3 linked regions of the Canis lupus familiaris genome follow. The protein of the gene in region 3 purifies or fractionates together with the protein of the main gene of each other region. This does not show direct contact. Links are inferred from orthologs where the notes say so. Each region holds a gene or a part of one and is shown on either strand. Other genes may lie near its edges.

What was found.
Region 1: the proteins of PIN1 (region 3) and RAF1 purify together in Homo sapiens (co-immunoprecipitation; 3 studies listed by BioGRID and IntAct, with this or other methods). This does not show direct contact. The link is inferred for Canis lupus familiaris from reciprocal best matches to the Homo sapiens genes PIN1 and RAF1.
Region 2: the proteins of PIN1 (region 3) and POLR2D purify together in Homo sapiens (co-immunoprecipitation; 3 studies listed by BioGRID and IntAct, with this or other methods). This does not show direct contact. The link is inferred for Canis lupus familiaris from reciprocal best matches to the Homo sapiens genes PIN1 and POLR2D.

What each region holds. Positions count from the first base shown.
Region 1 is NC_049241.1:6,018,809-6,022,456, forward strand, and holds part of RAF1 (RAF proto-oncogene serine/threonine-protein kinase), read left to right. Parts: intron 1-2,662; coding exon 2,663-2,775; intron 2,776-3,648. UniProt on the Homo sapiens protein: Serine/threonine-protein kinase that acts as a regulatory link between the membrane-associated Ras GTPases and the MAPK/ERK cascade, and this critical regulatory link functions as a switch determining cell fate decisions including proliferation, differentiation, apoptosis, survival and oncogenic transformation.
Region 2 is NC_049240.1:24,124,333-24,127,980, forward strand, and holds the end of POLR2D (DNA-directed RNA polymerase II subunit RPB4), read left to right. Parts: intron 1-646; coding exon 647-742; intron 743-1,891; coding exon 1,892-1,970; 3' UTR 1,971-3,425; downstream 3,426-3,648. UniProt on the Homo sapiens protein: Core component of RNA polymerase II (Pol II), a DNA-dependent RNA polymerase which synthesizes mRNA precursors and many functional non-coding RNAs using the four ribonucleoside triphosphates as substrates.
Region 3 is NC_049241.1:51,560,312-51,564,462, reverse strand, and holds the start of PIN1 (peptidyl-prolyl cis-trans isomerase NIMA-interacting 1), read left to right. Parts: upstream 1-1,291; 5' UTR 1,292-1,439; coding exon 1,440-1,497; intron 1,498-3,500; coding exon 3,501-3,713; intron 3,714-4,151. UniProt on the Homo sapiens protein: Peptidyl-prolyl cis/trans isomerase (PPIase) that binds to and isomerizes specific phosphorylated Ser/Thr-Pro (pSer/Thr-Pro) motifs.

The sequences.
Region 1 (3,648 bases), about 46 Mb from region 3:
GTCCCTTGCTGGCCAGCAGGTTGAGTTAGTATTTTCTAATCATCCTTAGGTTGCTTCACTGCTTGGAACCCAGAATGACTCATAATCACTTAGTGGGTTCCAGAAATTAGTCAGATTTAACTGAATTCAACATGTGTCCACGGAGAGTTGTAGAGAGGAAAGTGACCAAAAGGATATGTATATTATTTAAATAGTTGTAGATGTATAATTGGTAGTTGATTGAAAAACCTTGTCATTTATTTTGTACATATGTGTACAAATATGTACACTGCCTACTTATTGGGTGGGTGCTTAGACCACAGCTGAGGACCATTAATGACCATTAGAATCAGGGGATCCCTGGGTGGCGCAGCGGTTTGGCGCCTGCCTTTGGCCCAGGGCGCGATCCTGGAGACCCGGGATCGAATCCCACGTCGGGCTCCCGGTGCATGGAGCCTGCTTCTCCCTCTGCCTGTGTCTCTGCCTCTCTCTCTCTCTCTCTCTCTCACTCTCTGACTATCATAAATAAATAAAAATTAAAAAAAATGACCATTAGAATCACCTGACACAGGTTAAAATATAGATTCTTGGGCTTCATTCAAAATCAGGTGAAGCAGAATCCTTGGATGTATTGGAGTGGGGAGGCTGGGAATCTATATTTTCATAAGCTCCTTGGATGATTCTAATGCCAGCCACATTTGTGAACCCCACTGAATTAGAGGATATTTATTTAAAGAACTGTCTAACTCTTAGAGTCTGTGACTTTTTTTTTTTTTGGTACAGATTTTATGTATTTATTCATGAGACACACAGTGAGGGGCAGAAACACAGGCAGAGGGAGAAGTAGGCTCCTCGCAGGGAGCCTGATTTGGGACTCCGTCCCTGGAGTGGGATCACGCTGTGAGCCAAAGGCAGACACTCAACCACTTGAGCCATCTGGGCGTCCTTAGAGTCTGTGACTTTTAATGAAGATTAATGGTATAACACAGCACTATAGTTTTCAAGGCCCTGTTGCACAGTATTTGATGCAAGTAATGATTTGGTTAGTGTGTATGTATTCCTTTTCATTGTCCTCATTCTTGATGTCTTGTCTTCATAGTTCAGATTCATATATCTCACTTAGTTTTGTTTCTGAAAAGCAAGAAGTTAATGGATCTGAGAGTATAACTGCTTCAAGAAATCTAAAATAAAGTTGCCATGGAACATTTTAAATACTTCAGACTTTTAAAATGGATCCAAACATACACTCACCTCCTCTGGATTGGCCACTGTCAGCTGTCACACTTTCACTGAGCACAGGAACTCTACTGTGGGCAATTCACAAGCCCTGCAAATCTATATTCTGTTCTCCTACTGGCCGTACTGACTCTAGTTGCCTCACTTTTAATTAACTTTATTGCCTTTGAAAACAAAATGTATGAGGGGCTCCTGGGTGGTTGAGTTGGTTGAGAGGCCAACTCTTGATTTTGGCTCAGGTCAAAATGATGTTGATGTTGTGGGATCGAGTCCTGTGTTGGGCTCTGTGCAAGGTGTGGAGCCTGCTTGGGATTTTCTTTCTCCCTCTTCCTTTTCCCCTCCGTTTCCACCCCCCCCCCCTTTTGCGTGCTCTCTCTCTCTCTCTCCAAAAAATAAAAGAAAAACAAAATGAATGGGGCTTTTATAAAAACTTTTAAAGTCTTAGTCGAAATTTTATATAGCTGCTATTATTAGCACCCTGACTACTCACACTTACACTGGGTCTCTGAGTACCTGCCTAGCTTTTGAAGATTGGGTATGGAAGAGTGTGGAAGGACATACACTGAGGCTACCTGGAATGGTGTGCACATTTATTTAAATTAGTAGTGTTTGTTTTTGTAGCAGGGCAGAAGCTCTGTTTCCTCTCCTTGCTTGCCCTTACAGTTGTGAAGTGTGTATGAAATGGAATTTTTGTCAGGAAGATAAATCATCTTGTTTCAAACAGGTTGAAATACAAGTTTTCGTCAGAAAAACTCTTGTTTGCTTATAGATTAGATTGGTTTATTTTCCTTTCTGGTGGATGTTCATGCTTGCATGTACATTTCAGCAAGTTTTTTTTTTTTTTAAAGAGATTTTATTTATTTATTTATTAATGAGAGACACAGAGAGGCAGAAACATAGGCAGAGGGAGAAGCAGGCTCCCCTCAGGGAGCCCGATGTGGGACTTGATCTGAGCTGAAAGCAGAGCTTAATTGCTGAGCCATCCAGGTGTCCCTCAGCAAATTAAAATAGAGTTGTGTGAAGGGAAGTTTGATCATTTTATCTCTCTCAGCCACTCTCTTGATGTTAATAGCTAGAGATATATCTTTTCAGACTCATACAACATATATAAATATATATAGGTTTCCTGCCCTTTGAATAATCTCTTTGTATTATTCTGAAAAATATTTTCTCATAATTAACATATGGGCACCCCTCCCTCTAGGTCATTGTAAATAATATAGTAGTGACATACACACATATTCTAGGCTTTATCCAAGCCTATTGGACATTAGGCTTTTACCTATTATTGGACATTCCAGCTATTTTCTGTGTGCATTTATATTTACCATTACAAATAATGCTGTCATAAATCTGCATATATCTTTATAGACTGGTACATTTATTTCTTTGCTCACCAAGGGATGTGCAGCTGTTGTTGGTTCTAAAGATGGTCTTTTGTTTGTAGGTCAATGTGCGAAATGGAATGAGTTTGCATGATTGCCTTATGAAAGCACTCAAGGTGAGAGGCCTGCAGCCAGAGTGCTGTGCTGTGTTCAGACTTCTCCATGAACATAAAGGGTAAGAAATTAAAAGTCAACTCTTTTTTCATACAAGTAAGGAAGCTGATGACTTCAAATAATAATAGTTCTTTTTTTAAAAAGTATACTAGTTTCCTATAGAATATTATGTATTTATATTCCCTTGTGCATAGACAACTCAGAAAATTAAAATATTAAGAACTTGAAATTATTGTTTAAACATTGCATTGAGAAAAAGAATACATATTAGGTGTTGATAATATTCCATAAATGGAAGCAGTAGTGTCAGGTAATGTTTTCTTTAGAGTAAAAAATTTTTCTGTTTCCTGGAATGCAGTGGACAGAATGGGTACTCAGAAAGTGTTTGCATTATTATTTATAGTTAAAGAATCTTATCCTCAAGAGAGTAATAACTCTTATATAATTCATTTATTTAAAAGTTTTTACCTAAGTTATCTCTCCATTCATTGTGGGGCCTTGATCTCAGGACCTTGAGATCAAGAGTTGCATGCTTTTCTGACTGAGCCAGCCAGGTGCACCTCATTCATTCATTTATTTATTATATGGTTAATGCTTACTGAGTCCCTGCAATTTGGCAGACATAGGACTAAAAGATGCAGGAGAATTTCTGCTTCAAGGAAGATCCATAGTTAATCTTAGTTCTAATGGTGGTGGCAAGATAGAAGCATCCCATCAAAGGCTAGGAGCAATATTCCATAGCTTCTATTATCCATTATTATCCCCCTGAATTTGGGGGGAGTAATCTCTTGGAAAATGCTAGTTTCTTCTTTCTTCTTGGAAAATGCTAGTTCTGCTACTGATCTCCAGCTTGCATTTTTTCTGTTTCAAGGAGTTCTCCAGTTTGAGGGAATAGTCTAGGAAATGAGTCAACTCAAAGGGGCCAATTTAGATT
Region 2 (3,648 bases), on a different chromosome or scaffold from region 3:
ACAAATATTTGTACAAAGTAAGGTATGCCTATATTTATTTTTTAGGTAAGTTTATAAGATTTTATTTATTTATTTGACAGGGAGAGAAAACACAAGCAGGGGGAGTAACAGGCAGAGGGAGAAGGAGAAGCAGGAGTCCCACTGAGCAGGGGAGCCTAATGTGGGGCTCCATCCAGGACTCTGGGATCATGATCTGAGCTGAAGGCAGACGCTTAATCAACTTTTAGATAAGTTTAAGAGAATTTCCTTCCAAGTCAAAATACACAAACATCATGTATTTGTAATAAAATTAATGTTGAAAGAAGCAAGGTACAGTGATAAAAGCAGAGAACAGCAAAATAAATTCTTGGGGAAGGTTGTACAGTCCGTAAATTACATAGTAATTTTTCAAAAGTTAAAATAGGGGGTTCTCAGGCCTGATGTGCTCTGATTGCTTTTGTGTCTGCCTGATTTCATTGTAACTTTGTGTTCTCCAAGAATAGGAACAGGAAGTGAATTTAAAGTAGATTTTGCAGCCAAGCTTAACCATGTAGAAATAATTGGAAGTGCTTTACTTTTTTTTCATACTTGTTAACTACTTTTCATTCTCTTTTCCTACTCATCATTCTTTGATTTTGTTTGTTTTGATTTTCTTCACCATGATCAGCTTGTTGCTCCAGAAGAAGCTTCATAAGTTTGAGTTGGCCTGTTTGGCCAACCTTTGCCCAGAGACTGCTGAGGAGTCAAAGGCACTGATACCAAGGTAAGCACCGCTGTGCTGAGTTCTGTGTATAAAATTCCTACAAGTAGAATCACTTTGTCTAAAAAGTATGTATTTTTGAAATCGGGACAGATAGCACCAACAGGGTGTGAATATGATTTGTAGCCATGCCAGCTGTTAGCAAAAATGTGGACCAGCTGAATCTCTCACATTGGTGGTAGGAGTGCAAATTATATCTTTTTTATTATTATTTTTATTTATTTTATGATAGTCACACAGAGAGAGAGAGAGAGAGGCAGAGACACAGGCAGAGGGAGAAGCAGGCTCCATGCACCGGGAGCCCGACGTGGGATTCGATCCCGGGTCTCCAGGATCGCACCCTGGGCCAAAGGCAGGCGCTAAACCGCTGTGCCACCCAGGGATCCTAGGAGTGCAAATTAGTACAGTCACTTTGGAGAGCAGTTTGGCTACATCTAGTAAAGTTAAAGATGATTATACCCTGTTATCTAAAAATCCATTCCTGGGTACATGCCTAAAAGCAGCTCATACCATTCTACAAGGAAGCATGTATTCTAATGTTCATTACTGCAGTGTTAGTGATAACAGAAGCTTGACAGTCAGTAAACGAGAGGATGGATAAATCATTTATGTAGCAGTGCAAAAATTAATGAACTGGAACAATATGGAGTATAACTAATACCAGAATCAATTCGGAGTGAAAAAATTTGCAGGATAAATGTATTACAATGTCATTTCTTAAAAGTTTGAAAACAGTGCTGCATATGGCTTGTAGATACCTTTATATATGTATATAATAATAAGTTTAAAAATATGTATAGGAATGATAAATACAAATGCAGGATAATGGTTATTAATTCTGGGGAAGGTATTGCAATGGGGGGAGCATACACAGAGCCATTAATTTATTCCTGTTGTGTTTATTAAAGAAATCTAAATCAAGTAGGGGTAGCTGTTAGGGTTAACATATTTTTATACTTTCTTAAATCTTTGAAACACTTCATATGTGTTTAAAAGGAATGGCAGAAATAAAGCTGAAGGTAGAGGTGTCAGTGTTTAGAGGTAAATGGAGAAGTGTATAAGTGGTGCTCAAAGATGAGCATGTGTTCAAAAGAGTGTAGGGAACATTGTCAATTCCTGAGATACTCATTTCTTTTGGTTTTCTTCTTGTAGCTTGGAGGGGCGGTTTGAAGATGAGGAGCTACAGCAGATTCTTGATGATATCCAGACCAAGCGCAGCTTTCAATATTAGTCTCCAAATATTGCTCCACTGCTGAGGGAACTGTGTCCCAAGCCCATCACCACTGACCAGGTGTCTGGAGCTGACTTACACGGAAATACTATTGCAGAAGACAGTTGGGCTTCCTTTGGCTAGAACAAGTTAGCTTGGTCTCAGTTTAGGTTGCTGTTTTAGACTTAACTCCGAGACCATGGTAACCTGGCCTTCCCTCTTGGAGGGGGAGGCGTGAGGGGTGATGCGCATATAAGCTACACTAGTGACTACCTTCTACCACAGTTTTGGTACCTGTGTTATTTTTAAATTGTTTTTGTTTTAAGATTGTGTTTGGCTTTGTTTTTTTTGTCTGTTTTGTTTTGTTTTGAGTAGTCTCTCCCCCCAGTGTGGGGCTTGATCTCATTACCCCCAAGGTCAAGAGTTGCAGGCTCCACTGACTGAGCCATTCAAGCACCCCTTTTTTTTTAAGATTTTAATTTTTTAGCCCCTGTGTTAATTTGATTCCTAAGATCTCATGTTTTAATTTCAGCGTATTTGTAGTTTTTGAAACTACAGGAAACGACAGTCTTATCTCAATGCAAAAGGAAGAATTAAGGGGCCCTTGGCTGATTCAGTTGGTAGAGCATGTGACTCTTGATCTCAGGGTGGTGAGTTCAAGCCCCATATTGGGCTTGGTGCCTACTTTAAAGAAACAAGGAAGGAACCCCAAATATAAACACAAAAGGAAGAATTAAATCAGACGTGTACCATCATCTGAAATTCTTACAGAAAGGATGATGGTGTTAATGACTGAGACAGCATTGGCATCATTGTATTTAACCCAGAAGTCAAGGAAGAAGCTCACCAGGGAAAGTAGTTATACCTGAAGATAACTGCCAAACATGGGGGGCTCGTAGCCTTGGGGTTGATCAGTAATGGGGCTTTTTTCTTGAGTGTTGAAGGATGTAGATTTGGAGGCAGTGGTCCTAAACCACTATTTTCTCACTCCCAGGTTAAGATTTTTTTTTTTTCCTTCATGGGCCAGACTTGAGGGTCTGAACATTTTGAAGACTCCTTGTATGGGGCGTCCAGTCCAAACTCTGTCATGCAACTCAGCAGCAGGTGATATCTGATGGGGTGATTGGGAAGGAGGGAGCCTGCCCCTTCCTGAGCCACTACAGTGAAGTCACTCGATGTAAAGCTAGTTGTTGGAAACTCTTTGATAAATACTCTAAGGATCCCTGGGTGGCTCAGCGGTTTGGTGCCCGCCTTTGGCCTAGGGTGTGATCCTGGAGACCCGGGATCAGGTCCCACATGGGGCTCCCTGTGTGGAGCCTGCTTCTCCCTCTGCCTGTGTCTCTGCCTCTCTCTCTTTCTCTCTCTGTGACTATCATAAATAAATAAAAATTAAAAAAAATTAAAATGTGGATAATAAATGTATCTATTCTGTAGATATTTTCAGAAGATTACTAAAGAGAGCCTATTAGTGTCTGACATGTATTATTCTCCTTTTTCTTTTCTTTTTTTTTTTTTTTTTTTTTTTTTTATTCTCCGTTTTCTTTAAATCAAAATTTGAGGGCCGCCTGGGAGGCTCAGTCAGCTAAATATCTGCCTTCAGCTCAGGTCATGATTTCAGGGTACTGCTCAGCGAGGAGTCTGCTTCTCCCTCTCCTGCCCCTTCACTCGTTTTCTCTGTTAAATAAATAAAATCCTTAGG
Region 3 (4,151 bases):
TTTCTTTTCACTCATCAAACATATTTTTGCTATGAGGCAGACGCTGTTTGGAGAGCATTCTACAGATTAACTCAATTTTTGCATCAAAGGTATGTATGAGATATATATATTTCTTATTCTCATTTGCAGATGGAGAAGCTGAAAAGCTGAAACACAGAGATTAGTTTCTTCAAAGTCATAGCCAGGCTTTGAACACAAGCGATCTGGCTCTTGAATGCTCTTAACCTACTATATCCTATTTCTTGTAGACATGTTTTCCCATGTTTTATATGACTGTGCCTCATTTTTTTTTTTTTAAGATTTTATTTATTCACGAGAGACACACACAGAGAGAGGCAGAGACAGGAAGAGGGAGAAGCAGGCTCCATGCATGGAGCCCGATGTGGTACTCGATTCCGGGACTCCAGGATCACGCCCTGAGCTGAAGGCAGGTGCTACGCCACTGAGCCACCCAGGGATCCCCGCCTCATTCTTTTTCAATGGTCACATAGGGGTCTAGTTCTAGATGAACTATCATTGAACTCTTCCTTGTTGGTGTCTTTGCCTCTCGTATCTATCTCCAGCCTGTCCCCAGGCACCTCCCCAGAGTCCCACAGGTGCCGCAGACTCAATTTTAAGACGATTCAAACTGAGCTCATCATCCTCCTACAGACGCATCCTCCTGTGTCGCCAGCTAAGTGGCCATGCCAACACCCACCAGTCACCCAGGACAGAGGCAGGAGCCAGACCGAGAGAATAAGTTAAGTAGGTTCCAAAGGAAGTAGAAGATGTTTGGTCAGTGGCACAGGGAAAGGGTTAGTCTCGCAAAAGAAAAAAAAAAAGTGGGGGGACAGCTTTGGACATCTGGAGGAAACAGGTGGGGAGAAGGAGGATGGAGGAGCCAAATTTAGGCTTCTTCGCTGCTCATCACCAAGGCAACTGCGTTGCTACGGCAACAGCTAAGGCAGCACCGCCTCTTTCAAGTACCTCGTGGGCTGCCGTCACCTCGAAACCACCCGGACACTTCCGCATAAGGGGGCGCGGGCCTCCGGGAACGGCTGAGGAAGGCGGGAACTACTGCCGCAGTAGCCAATCGGATGGGGCCTGCGGCGAAGGACGCAAAGGAGGTGCCCGGACTTCTGTGAAGCTCGCCGGAGGCTGTGGAGAAGGACGGGCTCCAGCCCCTTCCCTACCAGTCAGCGGCCGAGGGAGGAAGGGGGCGGGATCCGGGGGAGGCCGTACGGGGGCGGGACCCGGTAGAACGCACGGAGGGTCCGCCCAGTCTCGCCGCTACCCAATAGAAAGCCCGAAGGCCTCTCCGGACTGCTCGGGCGCCCAATGAGCATCGTCGCCGGGCCCCGGGGCGAGGCGGGCCGAGCCAATCGGCGGCGGCGGTGGGCGGGTGCGGGCGGCATAGGCGGTGCGGCGGAGGCGGAGCGGGCGCTGCGGCAGGAGGGAAGATGGCGGACGAGGAGAAGCTGCCGCCCGGCTGGGAGAAGCGCATGAGCCGCAGCTCAGGTGCCGCGGGGGTCGGGGCTGGGGCGGGGCCGCGCGGGCCCGCGGAAGCAGGGCTCGAGCTCGCCCCTGGGGCGCGGCGCCGCCGCCCGATTCCCGTGGGGTCTTGGCTCCTCCGCGTCTTCCCAGGGTAACGGCCCGGGCCCGCCCCGTGGGGGCTGCGAACCTCAGGAGCGGGGATGCCGGAGGAAACTGAGGCAAGGGGCGGGGCCGGAGAGACCCAGCGCGCTGCCGGGGGTGGGGGGGGCGGGGGCGGGGGGCCGGGGATCCCGCAGCACTCCCCCAGGTGATGGCCCTGGCCCTGCCGATCCGGCTGACACCTTTTGGCCTATTGCACCCGACGTCCCCGGGGACCGTGTCTGCACCCTGCTGGGCCCGGGGGGCACCCCGGGGAAGGACACCCCAACCCCACGCTCAGGGCGTGGCCTCAGAGCGTTGCCGGGCCTCGGGCCCACAACCTGCCCCTGCTAACCCGCCGGCCATCCCCGCCTAACCCGAGTCTGTCGTCGCCGCCCGGTGGATGGACCCTGTGCCGGGAGCCCGATCTGAGGCTTATCCACAGTAATAATACCCGTAACCGCACGCTCATCTTACCGCCCAGCCCTGTGCCAAGTGTGTTTGGAGTGTGTTCTCCCTCTCTCTCTCTGAATGACCACAACTCTGGGAGGTGGATAGTTATCACCCCGTTTTGCAGGTGAGGAAGCAGAAGTCAGAAAACTTAAGGAGCTCCCCCAAGGTCATTCATTTCAGGGGGTGGGGGCTGGATTAGAGTCCGGTCAGTCTGACAGCAGAGCCCGCCTGCCCTTGTCACTGCAGACCAGTGAGGAGCAGGCCCAGCATCTCACCGCACTGCCTCCCCAGCCCATAAAAATCACAGTCACAGTGATATCTGCTCATTGAAGGCCAGGCCCTCTGGTGAGCACTTTGCACGGATCATCACTGTTCTCCACATTAGCCCCGTGAAGTTATGTCCTTAATCTCTCGCTTCACCCCCACTTTTCAGATGAGAAAACCAAGGTTCATGGAGAGAGAGGCCATTGCAAGGTTTTAGGGTCGGTCACTGGCTCAGCTCTCACTGAGCCCGCTCCAGCCCTGCTCCGTGGCCACAGCTGACAGCATGAATCCTGATGCTCTGCCCTGTTCTGGGCCCCCTCTCTGGCCATTTCTGCTCGGCTCCACCCTAATGGTCTTCCTCAGGGGTGACCTTCAGTTCTTCACGGTGCTGGGTGCCAGTCGTGCAAAAATCTCAGCCCCTGGAATGATGCCTGGGCTCTCCTGGGTTCTACCTCAATCTTCTCTCTTGTGGCCTTCCCTCCTTCCTGCTCCTTGGGCCCTGGGTAACGTTTGACCCCCCTGTACTGCTGGTCCATAGTTGTGCAGCGCTGTACACTGGGTGCGGGTTAAGAACAGAGCTTTCATGTTTGGCAACCTGGGTTTAATTCCTGCCTCCAGCCATGTGTGCCTGGGGCCAAGTGTACACTCAGGAAACATTCCAAAGGTGTGGAAGGTGAGGCCTCACTTCTGTCGTCTACAGGGAGATGATAGCTGTCACGCTCCTAATGTGTACTGGGCACTAGTCTAAGTGTGTTACCGCTGTGAGCTCACTCAGTCCTTAGCACAACCCTACAGGCAGGGACTGTTGTTATCTGCATTTTACAGGTGACAAAATCAAGGCCCAGAGAGGTTAGCTCACACAGTGAGTGACAGCCAGACTTGAACAGGCAGCCTGGCTGCCTGTCCCCACACCGGCTTCGTCTCTCCTGTCACTCTGGGTGGTTTTCCTCCTTGAAGTCACTAATAACTGAAGTTATGACATTGTCTTATTTGCTTGTCTGGGGCCTGCCCATCCCCATCTAGAATGCTGGCTCCCTCGGGGCCTGTAGCTCGAGGTGGACTCAGGGGATTTGTTGAATGAAGGAATCCCATTGGCCGGTCCGTCATCTTGGCCTCCGGGTGGTGTCCTTTGAGCAGGTCCCAGCTGAATTCCTGTATCCCCCCTCCTCCAGGCCGGGTATACTACTTCAATCACATTACTAATGCCAGCCAGTGGGAGCGGCCGAGTGGCAACAGCAGCAGTGGCAGCAAAAATGGACAAGGGGAGCCCACCAGGGTCCGCTGCTCGCACCTGCTTGTCAAGCACAGCCAGTCCCGGCGGCCCTCATCCTGGCGACAGGAGAAGATCACCAGGACCAAGGAGGAGGCCCTGGAGCTGATTAATGGTGAGCAGAGTTGGAAGCAGGTTGGAGTGGGGGGAATGTGGGGAGAGGTTGTCCCCTCATTGGGAGCTGGAGCCAGCCTCGTAGAAATCACACCAGGCCCTGCACCCCAGCTAACTCAGCTGTCAGCATTGGCTGCCACCGAACTGCCTGTACGTGACGTGAGCCTGGACTGCACAGCTGCCTCTCCTTTTTCTTTCTATTTGGCATTTGAGGGTGAGCCAGGTTACGAGAGGAGGACCCAGCCTTGGGGGCTGGCAGCCCTGGGTTCAGATGGTGGCTATGCCCTGTAAGCTCCAGGGGGAGCTTGTGTCATCTTGAGACTCAGTTTTCCCCTCTGTAAAATGGGTGTTGTCACATACCTGCCCATACCTGGTGTGTAGGTGCCAAGAAAACTATGAAATCAGCAGCATTTAGCTCACTAGGGCCATAAGTTGCAGA